2 linked regions of the Drosophila melanogaster genome follow. The protein of the gene in region 2 interacts with the protein of the main gene of each other region in a pairwise test. Each region holds a gene or a part of one and is shown on either strand. Other genes may lie near its edges. The genes, in order: Marf1 and CG17002.

The links.
Region 1: the proteins of CG17002 (region 2) and Marf1 interact in a two-hybrid assay, tested with the Drosophila melanogaster proteins (one large-scale study listed by BioGRID).

The regions. Positions count from the first base shown.
Region 1 is NT_033779.5:22,310,109-22,315,016, reverse strand, and holds the start of Marf1 (meiosis regulator and mRNA stability factor 1), read right to left. Parts: upstream 3,091-4,908; 5' UTR 2,979-3,090; intron 1-2,978.
Region 2 is NT_033778.4:6,984,064-6,989,645, reverse strand, and holds CG17002 (uncharacterized protein), read right to left. Parts: upstream 3,604-5,582; 5' UTR 3,302-3,603; coding exon 2,870-3,301; intron 2,813-2,869; coding exon 2,713-2,812; intron 2,009-2,712; coding exon 1,958-2,008; intron 1,866-1,957; coding exon 1,381-1,865; intron 1,076-1,380; coding exon 878-1,075; 3' UTR 724-877; downstream 1-723. Other genes in the region: vimar (visceral mesodermal armadillo-repeats), read left to right, coding at 4,228-4,234.

The sequences.
Region 1 (4,908 bases), on a different chromosome or scaffold from region 2:
TAGAGTGGGCGTGGCAAAACGTTTTTTTTTGGGAAACGATAGAAATTTATTTTGGCCGGATAAAGATTTTCGTAGATGAGAAGTCTGCTTCCGCGATTATTTTTGATTACGGAAACAGTTAAAAGGTACGAGAGAGCATCATCACTATGAATGATGGCAATATTAGTTTTGGTAAATCAACGTAGGTGATTGGAAGGCCTCGATTTACTTTTCTTGAGACTGCCTGATGCCGGCTTTTATAAACTTTTTAAGCTCTGTTCTATATCTTATTTGATGATCTTTAGTTTTTGTGAAGAACTGACGTCATCGACATACACGTAGCATGTTTATTTAAGATCTGTTCCGCAAAGCATCATCGATTGTCCTTTGGAAAAAATTTGGTGCAATTTGCAGTCCGAGTGGTGCAGAATGCAGTTCTGTAGTTCTGTAGAAATGCAGTTCGTCATTAAAAAATATTTCAGGGGTTTCCCTGTATTTCTCTAATTACTCGATTTGATGGAATTACGATTTAAGGTCCGATGTTGTAAAATGTGGAGCTTTTCCCATAATTTGAAGTATTGTAAAGTATTCAGCGTCAATAGCGTTCTTTAGTTTCTTAAAATGGATAACGATACGTTTTTCTTATTGCCATTTTCACAATGTCCTTTTTTATCGAAAACACACACGCGGTTGTTGTAAGGTTATCTCGATTTTCTGATTATGACCTATGCGATACGCCCATTGGGAAAAGGTTATTTTTAATAATTACGCGTTCCCAATCGGATTGGATAGTAGCGATTTTATTAAGGAATGGCTTGATAAGGGTCTGCAAATGTCCCGGTCCCGGTTGCCAAGGCCCTCGACGATTCAATAATACAATTATCATTATTGTGCCGCTTTCATGTTCTAGAGAATTCTTTACGAAAATAATATTTGCATTTACCTTCTTAACAAAGTCCAGTCCAAAATGAGAAATAAGTGGCTAAGACCGCATATGCGTTTTCCCCACTTTATTGTGGACCGGTAGTGCCTGAAAACCGCATAGGTCTCCAATTCCCTTGACTCCCTTGACTCCCGAATTCGGGCAAAGAAGTTTGCTCATAGACATCTACGGTTGGGGATGTGACCTAGGAAGCTAATTAATTTTCTTTTCAAATATTACTTTGCTTTCATGGTTACCTGAAATGTATACACATTTTGTACTCCCTGGTTACATTAAAACATTACATGTGCTTTTTTTTTACTAATTTGTTTTCAGATTTTTGAACCTTGCTGAAGTTCATTTTCACACCTTTCCAAACTTCTGCAGAATTTGTTAAGATTTTGTACATTGATTTTTCTTCAGATTTTGTTGACAATATTCAGAATTTCGTTAAGTAGTAGTTAAGTAACATTTCTTCCGAATTAGAAAGCGCTGCAATCTTAATAAAACCAAACTGAATCCTCATTTATAATGGTTTCTTAATGACTCCGCCCCATTTCTGTCATCGCCGTCTGTCCGTTGTTCCAGGTCACCTCCAACACCTGTACCATCACACAGCATTTGGATTACTTAAAGGATTACCTTTTGTAGGCGGAATATAATTTTTCCAAATTACCAACGTTTTTCCGCGGCATAGAGTTAAAAAAATGTACATTTACTTTATGCGAAGAAAATCTAGGCTCAACAGGCTTTCCAGGTAATTATTAATCGAGGGAGCGTATGGTGATCTGTCTTAAGCGGTTAACTTTAAGCTTGTAATTTTCATAATATATAGGAAGATGAGAAACACAGCACTCATCTTATACATACATATTTCAAATATATATTTTAATACTAGGTAATACTTAATACTTAAGAGGTAAGACAAGAAATTACGATATAGTCGAGTTTCTTGATACCGGATACTCAGATAGTGGGAGAGCACAAGAAAAATGTACTGTTTCATTTTATTAGGTTATCGATTAAAATTGTCAAAAAAACTGTAGACAAATAAAATAATTTTTCGAACGTGTGGGCGGCTTGAAGTTGAAGTGGCTTGAAGTAGAGTGGCCGTGGGCAAAATTGTTTTCGCATATAGATTCTGATCGAGTGATAACAGCAAACTATCCAACAACAATTCGACACCTGTTTAGGTTCATGATATAAAAAAATGCTTCCACGAGCAGGATTTAAGATCATCCGCACAACTATCACATCATTAATTTTTTGTACAATAAAAAATAAAGATATTTTTTTCTAAGCTTAAGCCATGTGGTGTATGCTCACTTCATACTGTACATATTTTATAGGCTCGGGAAATTATACGAAAAGCGTGCATAATGAGCCATTTTATTTTATTAACTCGAATTTATTTAATCTGTTTTAGCCCTAGCTTAAATTGTTACGTATGTTTATGTGTACATCAATATAAATCCCAACACTCTTCATAAGATGCACGCGTAGCAACACGACACATCCTCCTTTCCAATCCACAACACACATCAATATCAATTTCCAACCAATTTGGTTGGAAAACAGTTTCAATTCAACTATCTATATGAATATGAATATGTGTTTAAAATCGTCGGATTTTGTGAATACTAAACGAAAAGGAAATTTAAAATATAATATCCGAATTGGTTTCAAAACTTGCGAAGTGCTGCAGACCATCAAAATAAATGTGCTTATGGTTGAATTTGGGTTGCATTTTTATCGTGCACTATACAAATTCTACATGAATTTAGTTTTAAGCCATTTTCTTGGCATACATGTGCGTACATAAAAATGTGTATGTATATGTATACTCCCGCGCGAAATGCAGTCAATGTAATGTTCGTTAGCACTTGTTTAAGTAATTTGCCTAGAGCCTTAACCAGTCATTGGATTATTAAAATGATTAAAATCGTTATTCATAGATCATTCTTAATTAATATTGGTACTATAATCATAGGCTTAGATTAAGTAATATAGTAATTCAATTAATATTTTACTAATGGTCATGCCACTAAGAATATTTATTAATATTTGTTGTACTTACATGATTGTATATGAACTAATTATATAATTTACGACAATAAAACTCAAAATTCACTTAAAACAACACGGCACATGCGAAGCTTAGACTTTGTGATCCCTTAAACAACTGAGGAGGCTACGTGTGTAGAAAACATTGATGACTTGTGTGGAGGCTGGAAGGTGGCGGGCATAGGCACTGGAAGGTGATTGAAAAGTTTGGGGTTAATTAAATTTTTATTATTTTGATTAAATAATTTTTCTTTTTGTAGTTTTATAAAATTGTCTTGGCTCAATTGTAGTTTCTTTAACAAGCACCTTGTTCAACAAACAAAAAAAAAATAAAAAAAGGAAAAATTGGGAGGAAATTCAATTCATCCAATGAACTTACAGATATACAACAAGAGAGAATGCTATAGTCGTTTTCCCCAACTATCAGATACCCTTTACTCAGCTAGTATGAATGCAAACGCGAAATTTTTATCATTTTTGTGGGATATCGATAGATATTGGGGAATAAAATGAGAAGTAATTAAAAATTGTTCAAATGTGTGGGCGTGACCACTTCGGCGGCTTCTTGGCGTTACAGTGGGCGTGGCAAAAAGTTTTTGTCAAATCGACTAATAACTGACAGTTTTGGGCGGCTTGTGGCCGTTAGAGTGGGCGTGGCAATATGCGTCAACAAACTTGCGCTGCGTCTATGTCTCTAGAATCTGTATGCTTAATCTCAACCGTCTAGTTCTTATATTTCCTGAGATCTCGACGTTGACACGGACAGATCGACTCCGGCTATTGATCCCTATCAAATATATTTATACATATGTAAGCTCTATACAGTCGGAAACGCTTTCTCCCGACTGTTACATACTTTTCTACGAATCTGGTATGCCTTTTTGACTCCACGAGTGACTCTTATAACTACCAATACAATTATTTACTACAATATTTTGGCTCATCGTGATATTACAGACTTTACTATTGCACAGAGTGAGGGAATTTATAAAGAACATAATAATTTTGGATTGAACAAATTTCTCGAAATCCGTAATAAAACTCAAATCCTTATCTGAATTCAAAATCACACAACTTCAATACAATTGGGTATTTGTATCAATATCCACCAAGTTACCCACAATATTCTCAACCCTTCCATCCTAATTTTAATCAATACCACCCAATTATTTCAAGTCCAGCCCATATATCAGCATTCAACCAAGTATTCCCAAAAGTCATTTCCAACAAATCCAAAATCCTCAAACAGCACATTTTATAAGAAATACATACCCTCAACTACAATACAACAAGCCTCCACAACTAAGAATTCTAACTTCAAAATGTCTATTGACGAAATGAGATTCCAAGACGCACATGAATTCGAACAAGTCCAACCTAATTATTACGAACAACAGTATTATGACCAAAATCAATACAATCCATATCAAAATCATGGGTTCATAAATGAAGGGCAACAACCGATCCAACCCGTACAAATTAATAACGAAATATTATATATCAAAATATATATATATCAAAATGGTTCTGAACTAAACGAAAATTTTCGGTCAACGGCCCCGACAACACGAATACATAAAAATAGTATACAAAGGGTGCACATACAAATGCCTACTAGATACAGGATCAACAAATAATATGATCAATGGAAAATACATATCAAAATAGTATATGTGAAGTTTTAACATCAAATGCCTACTACTTCGAAAAGCTTGATTATCTTACCCAGCAATAGTATTTTAAAAATAAATCAAACATTTCATGTACACAGTTACGATAATTAGCATATCGTAATTGGTAGAAAATTGTTGACAAATGCGCAATCAGTTAGAAATTAATAAATAATTAATTACCTCAGAATCGGAAAGAACCCAGAATTTTTATATCCAAAAAACACCAATCCAATTACAATCCTGATTTATATCAGGAATCAAAAAGAAATT
Region 2 (5,582 bases):
TATATCTGTGGTTATATCTATGGAACCACGGTTTTCGGGCTTCCATTCATATTTAATGACATTGGATACCATTTTGGCAGAACATTCAAGGGTTTTTTGAATGTTCATATATGTTTTTACTTCCTTTCTAAGCTTAATAATTAACATTCTTTTCTCCTGGGAGCAGTGCTGTCCTTTACCCACTAATATATAATTTTTTTCATTTACTCCCCTTTTAAATGTACGAATTAATCAAACTCACTTTTTAAAAATATTGATCATTTCCTGACTTTACGTTGGTCAAAACCAGACACTGCTATTCTTATGAACAGCCTAAAAGTTGTGATTTCGCTTAAGAAAGTAAATAAAAAAAGGATAACATGAAAAACTAACCGGATTTTCTTTTTTTCCCTATATACACATTCCATTTAACAAAAATAAGTGGAATAAAAAGTCAATTCCGAAAAGGGACATGGAAAAATACCTTTGTATTAATTAGTATTCCTCGCACTGCTATTTTTCTGAACACAGCTGTACATACCATTTTATATAATAGTCATTTTTTATATGTATACATGATCCAATTTCTATTGCCCAGAATTTCAAAAACTCTTTCGAGTTAGATCAATTTGCCTGTTGGTGATTAGAACTACGATACCTCAAAGTTATTATGGTATAACCACAGAACCACAGAAGCCCATTGATACCAAATATCAAATCAATATCAAATATCAGTATGGTATTGTCGATTGGAAAATAGGGACGCCATAGTTGTGTGCTTTATTTCGTTTATCCGACTTCACGTGGGAAGCGTAGTCAGTGTTGTAATGTCTATTTAAAATCGTAAGTATATCAGTTAGCGAGTTCCGTAGCGACAAAAGGGGTTAGGGGTTAGAGGCTAGTACAATCGCCGCGTGTAATGCATCTGCTGACCAGGAGGCGGCTGGGCGGAGCCGGATCCGGACGGTGCTCCCGGCTGGCCAGGCAGCATCGCCAGCTGTTGCCGAGCCAACTGCTGCTCGTGGGCGGATCCACCTCGTCCAGGGGCATAGCCCTGTGTGATGCTTCCCGCTGTTTTCGGATTCTGTGGAGGAAACTGGCCAGGCGTTAGTCAAGTGAATATTTAGTTCTTCCTTGTAAATGATATCAAACATGTTAATCAGTAGTTGGGAAGTTGGTTCTAATGCGTTTTCCTATGAAAACATGAAAACCTGCAACAATGAATTTGTTTTATAGAAAACAGCTCTTATTCAAGATGCTCAGGCTTTAAAAACCATTTTCGCAGAGCCTAATCGTTGAACTTCGATTTCGAAGATGTAAATCTAACTTGTTTGTTCTAAGTTGTAAATTCTAAGACACTGCCACGGCTAATTAACCACAAATGTTGAGAATGAGACCCACCTGGCTGCTGCTTATCTGCAGCACGTTGCTGTGCAATGAGAGTTCGTTGAGCAGCGGCTTGAAGATGACGCCCTCCGGCAGCAGGTGTGGCGGAGGCGGGACGTGGCTCGGCGGCTGGCCGTCGTGCTTCACCTCGATGTGGTAGCGGTCCGGTAGCTTCTCCATAGTCACGTGTGGCTGGGAGGCCTTTACCGAGAGGCTGCCGCCGGCTTGAGCCACCAGGTCTGCCTGCGAAATGGTCGGCTGGTCGAGGTTGATGTGAAGCACTTGCATGGGCTGCGACTGCGACGGTGCCTTGGGCGACTGCGAGTCGGGCGGCTTGCTGACCGTGGCGCTGGGCAGGTCCACGTGGTAGGCCTGGCGCAACGGAAGGTTGTAGTTGTAGATGGACTGCAAGCGGGCGTCCGCCTGGTGCTGTGTCGTCGGCGGAGGAGCGACCGTCTGGTAGAAGACCGTTCCCGTGCCCGGATACTGTGCCGCTGTTTCTGGAAGAGAGGAAAAGTGAGGTTTAATTGACGAATCTGGCGATCGTTCCGACGGAGGATCTCGGGCTTGGTATTGCAAGTGAGGTGCTTACTGTTCCATGATAATCTAGCATAGTCAGCGGCACGACGGTAGTCATCGTGTTCTGCGAATCGATCGTAAACAAATAACGAAATGAACATAAGTTGTGTGCCTGTGTTGTTAGAGGTTAGTGTGCGCAGTGAAATGGATTTCTCATGAACGGGACGGAGTGTTAGCGAGCAGTTAATCAAGAAGAACAGCGAAAGCTCCGCAGAACAGATCAATCGGTGATTGTATCGCACCTTTAGCCAATGCCAATTTGCAGTTGAATTTTAAAACTCGAGCTATCTGCTAGAAACCCTATATATATCGTTTCTACACTATATATCCTTCAAAATAATAGGGTAATTTTTGTGCACATTAAAACACATTAAACTAAACCATCCAATACAAAGCCTAAACAGCACGAAACTTTCTTTATATCGAATTGATTATTTACTTAACACTTAACCATGTTTTTGCAATCATTCCTAATTAGAAGTTCAATTGATATTAGTGCTAATATTTCATAGAGCTTAAAAAAGGGCTTGGCAATCAGAATGTAGAGATGATGACATCACAAAAATCACGTATATCTCTCGTCCAAATCAAGAACCATACATATGTGCTAACCAATTCAATGACTAATCAAATTATGAGCAGATCCCGCATTCGAGTTAACAAAATCCAACCGAAATTGCGTGCATGAGACTTTGGACTGCCTGCCTGAGGCAGCGTTCACTGTATCGGAGGCCCAGGGACCACATTGTCGACCTCTTCCTGGCTTACTCTGCTGGGCGTAGCTGGCGGCGCTCTTGTAGTAAGCCTGCTGCTGACTCGGCGGCGATGGACTCCTGCCACGTTTTCCTGGCTGTCCGCCGGACGGGAGCTGCGAGGAAAAAAGAGGACCATTAGAACCTGAATCCCACAATTGCGCAGTCGAGACCTTCTGCATCAGCGTATGGTGCTGGTGTTGGAGGCGCAGGGGCGGCAGGAAGACCGGGCTACTGGCCGCCGCCTGCTGGATGGCGAACAGTTCGTTCTCCTTGGCCAGCTTCTTGCGCGTTTCGTCCTCGTTGAGCACCTTCTTGAGTTGGACGGTCAGCTGATGCTTCTGGCTGTGCAGATCGGCCAGCTGCTCGTCCAGTCGGGTTATCTGGCCGCGTGTGTCATCCAGGGCCACCTGGTTCTGGCGCTCCACCTCCTCGCGCTCCCGTCGCAGCCGCTGCTCCTCGCACTGAGCCTCGAACTCCTCCTGGCGCCGCTGGCGGTCCGCCACGATGAAGCCCTTCAGTGCCCCGCGCAGCTTCTCCGCCCGCTCGGCCTTCGCCGCCTGGGCGGCCGCGTTGCTGTTGTTTACCGCTGATGCTGGCGGCATCTTTGTGCTCTGCTTAGTTATCTTGCCAATTTTATAAGCGTTCGTGGACGACCGGGCAATCGCGACTGTTTGACCGAACCGACCGAGAGGCTCCCCAAATGGAATGGCGTGCTGGTGGCGGTGGGCTGGAATCCGGGTGGACACCGCTACGGGAATCAATGGTTGGGCGTCTTGGGATCACTGCAAATGCTCGACGCCGGGCTGCACTTTATTTTCGTTCACTTTCAGCACGGTTTTTTGTGGTAAACAATTTGTTGAGTGAGTGGGATGTGCCGACCAGTGTTGCCACCAATCGATTAATGGGCAAAGCTAGCTAGAAAATAGCTACTTTCCGATTGTGGTGGCAAATCTTAAGTTAACGTTCGAACTAAATCACTTATAAAGAATTCGATTTTTTCTTTAAAGCTTATATTCCTAATATTACTAGTCACACCCCAGAATTTAATATAAAATACAAATAGTTTCAACACTGATCGATACTTATCGATAACTTTTTGGAAACAGATTATAGTTTTTGGAAAATCCAAGCATTAAAGTCTAGACATTCTAGAAATGTCTATCGATGTTAATAAAATGCGTAAGCATCGATATGGCATCTCTCATTGGAGGTATCGTGCAGCTCGAGCTCTGCGGTCACACTAGAATTGCAGTTGTTGGTGTGAACGTCTGAACGCGATTCGGAAAATACGGATTACACGGATAATACGAATTATACGGATATTGCGGAAGTTGAACGGAGACGCGACTGAAAGAAAGCCGTGAAATGTGTTCAGTTGCGCGCAGCAGTCATTAGCCTATCAGCAGTGTTTGTTACAAGCTAACAGTGATACAACGTGCCTGGAATCGCAACCAACGCAGAGCAAGAAAAGCAGAAAAGCATAAAAACGGAAGAAGCAGCAGCGGAATAATCAACAAAGGCGGCAAACATGGCGAGTGAGTAACATCGAGCATTTCTCTGCCTATGGAGCATCCCAAACGACATACAGCAGACCCCGGATTCCTTTTCCATAGCATAAACAAACGCAATTCATGCGAGTCATTGCAGCGGCCGTTTTATGGCTGCAGTGCAGCATTTACGAGCTGCGAAAACTTCCAAATCGCTGCCAGGTGTCGGAGGAAGTTGCTCCGAGCAGGGGCAGTGGGGTGGGGGCGGGCGATGCGGCTCCCTAGACAAGATGTGTGTGTTTGCCGGGGACATGTGAGAAAAATCAATACTTATGCTCCCCACTCCCCATCCCACTGCACAGTGGGCCGGTCGGATTAGGCAGATGCCGTGCTCCTGCTGCTGTGCGCACCCACTTATCGCGGCCAACAGGGTCAGCGCTTCCCAATCAGAAATCCCGCTCTTTTATCCTTTAATGGCCCCGGCAGTTCTGGCGGGAATTAAGTGCGGCTGAGACAGCGGCCACCACCGTTTTGCACGAACCCGCCACCCGAGCCGCCCACTCCACCGCAGCACAGGAGGAATAGGAATGGGAACTGGGAACAGCAGTGACGACGCATTAATAAATGAGAATATGCCTCCTGCGAGGTGCCAGGTTTACCGGCGTGTCGCAACACTCCCCGCAGTCCTCACAATTCGTTTTATCCCCACGGGGGGTGATATAGCAAACAAAACGATGAAGTCATGCACAGTGAGAAATCTATGGCAACTTTGTTGAATTGTTGATAAACATTACAATTAGGACAATCTTCACAGATTAAGCTTAAAAGGGCTTAAAATTCGATACTACTTTGCAGTCAAAGCGCAGTCATTGTCAAGATAAAGCTGTGACTAACTAAAAGAAACCCCTTTTTTTCTTGTGTTTCTCAGTGTAGTTGGATGTGTAACGTACGCACTGGATGTGTTATATTTGGGTCAGTCACCGATGAGAATTGTTAAACGTAAACAAGTCTCTAAACTTCTTAGTTTTCAAACGTGACTGCACCGAATCAACACATACATAAACACTGGCCACAGACTGTACTGTTTGTATACCCTTTCCCGAGGGGAACCTGTGCAGAACGACAACAAACAGCACTTGAACGCGCCGGCAATCCCGGCCTCGAAACTTCCCCTTTTTCAGGAGGGGTGCTGCATCCCAATCCCCACACCACTGTACACCTCACTTGTCTACAGAACCCACCAGCTGCGCCCAGCGTAGCGAGACCCATTTCCACACTGAAAACAATTCGTGGTTCTTGTTCATTTTAATTCATATGCAAGCACTGGGAAACTTGCGCTGAATATATGATTTTCAAGACCTGTCATTCGGAGCATTCATTAAGTGTTACATAAGTT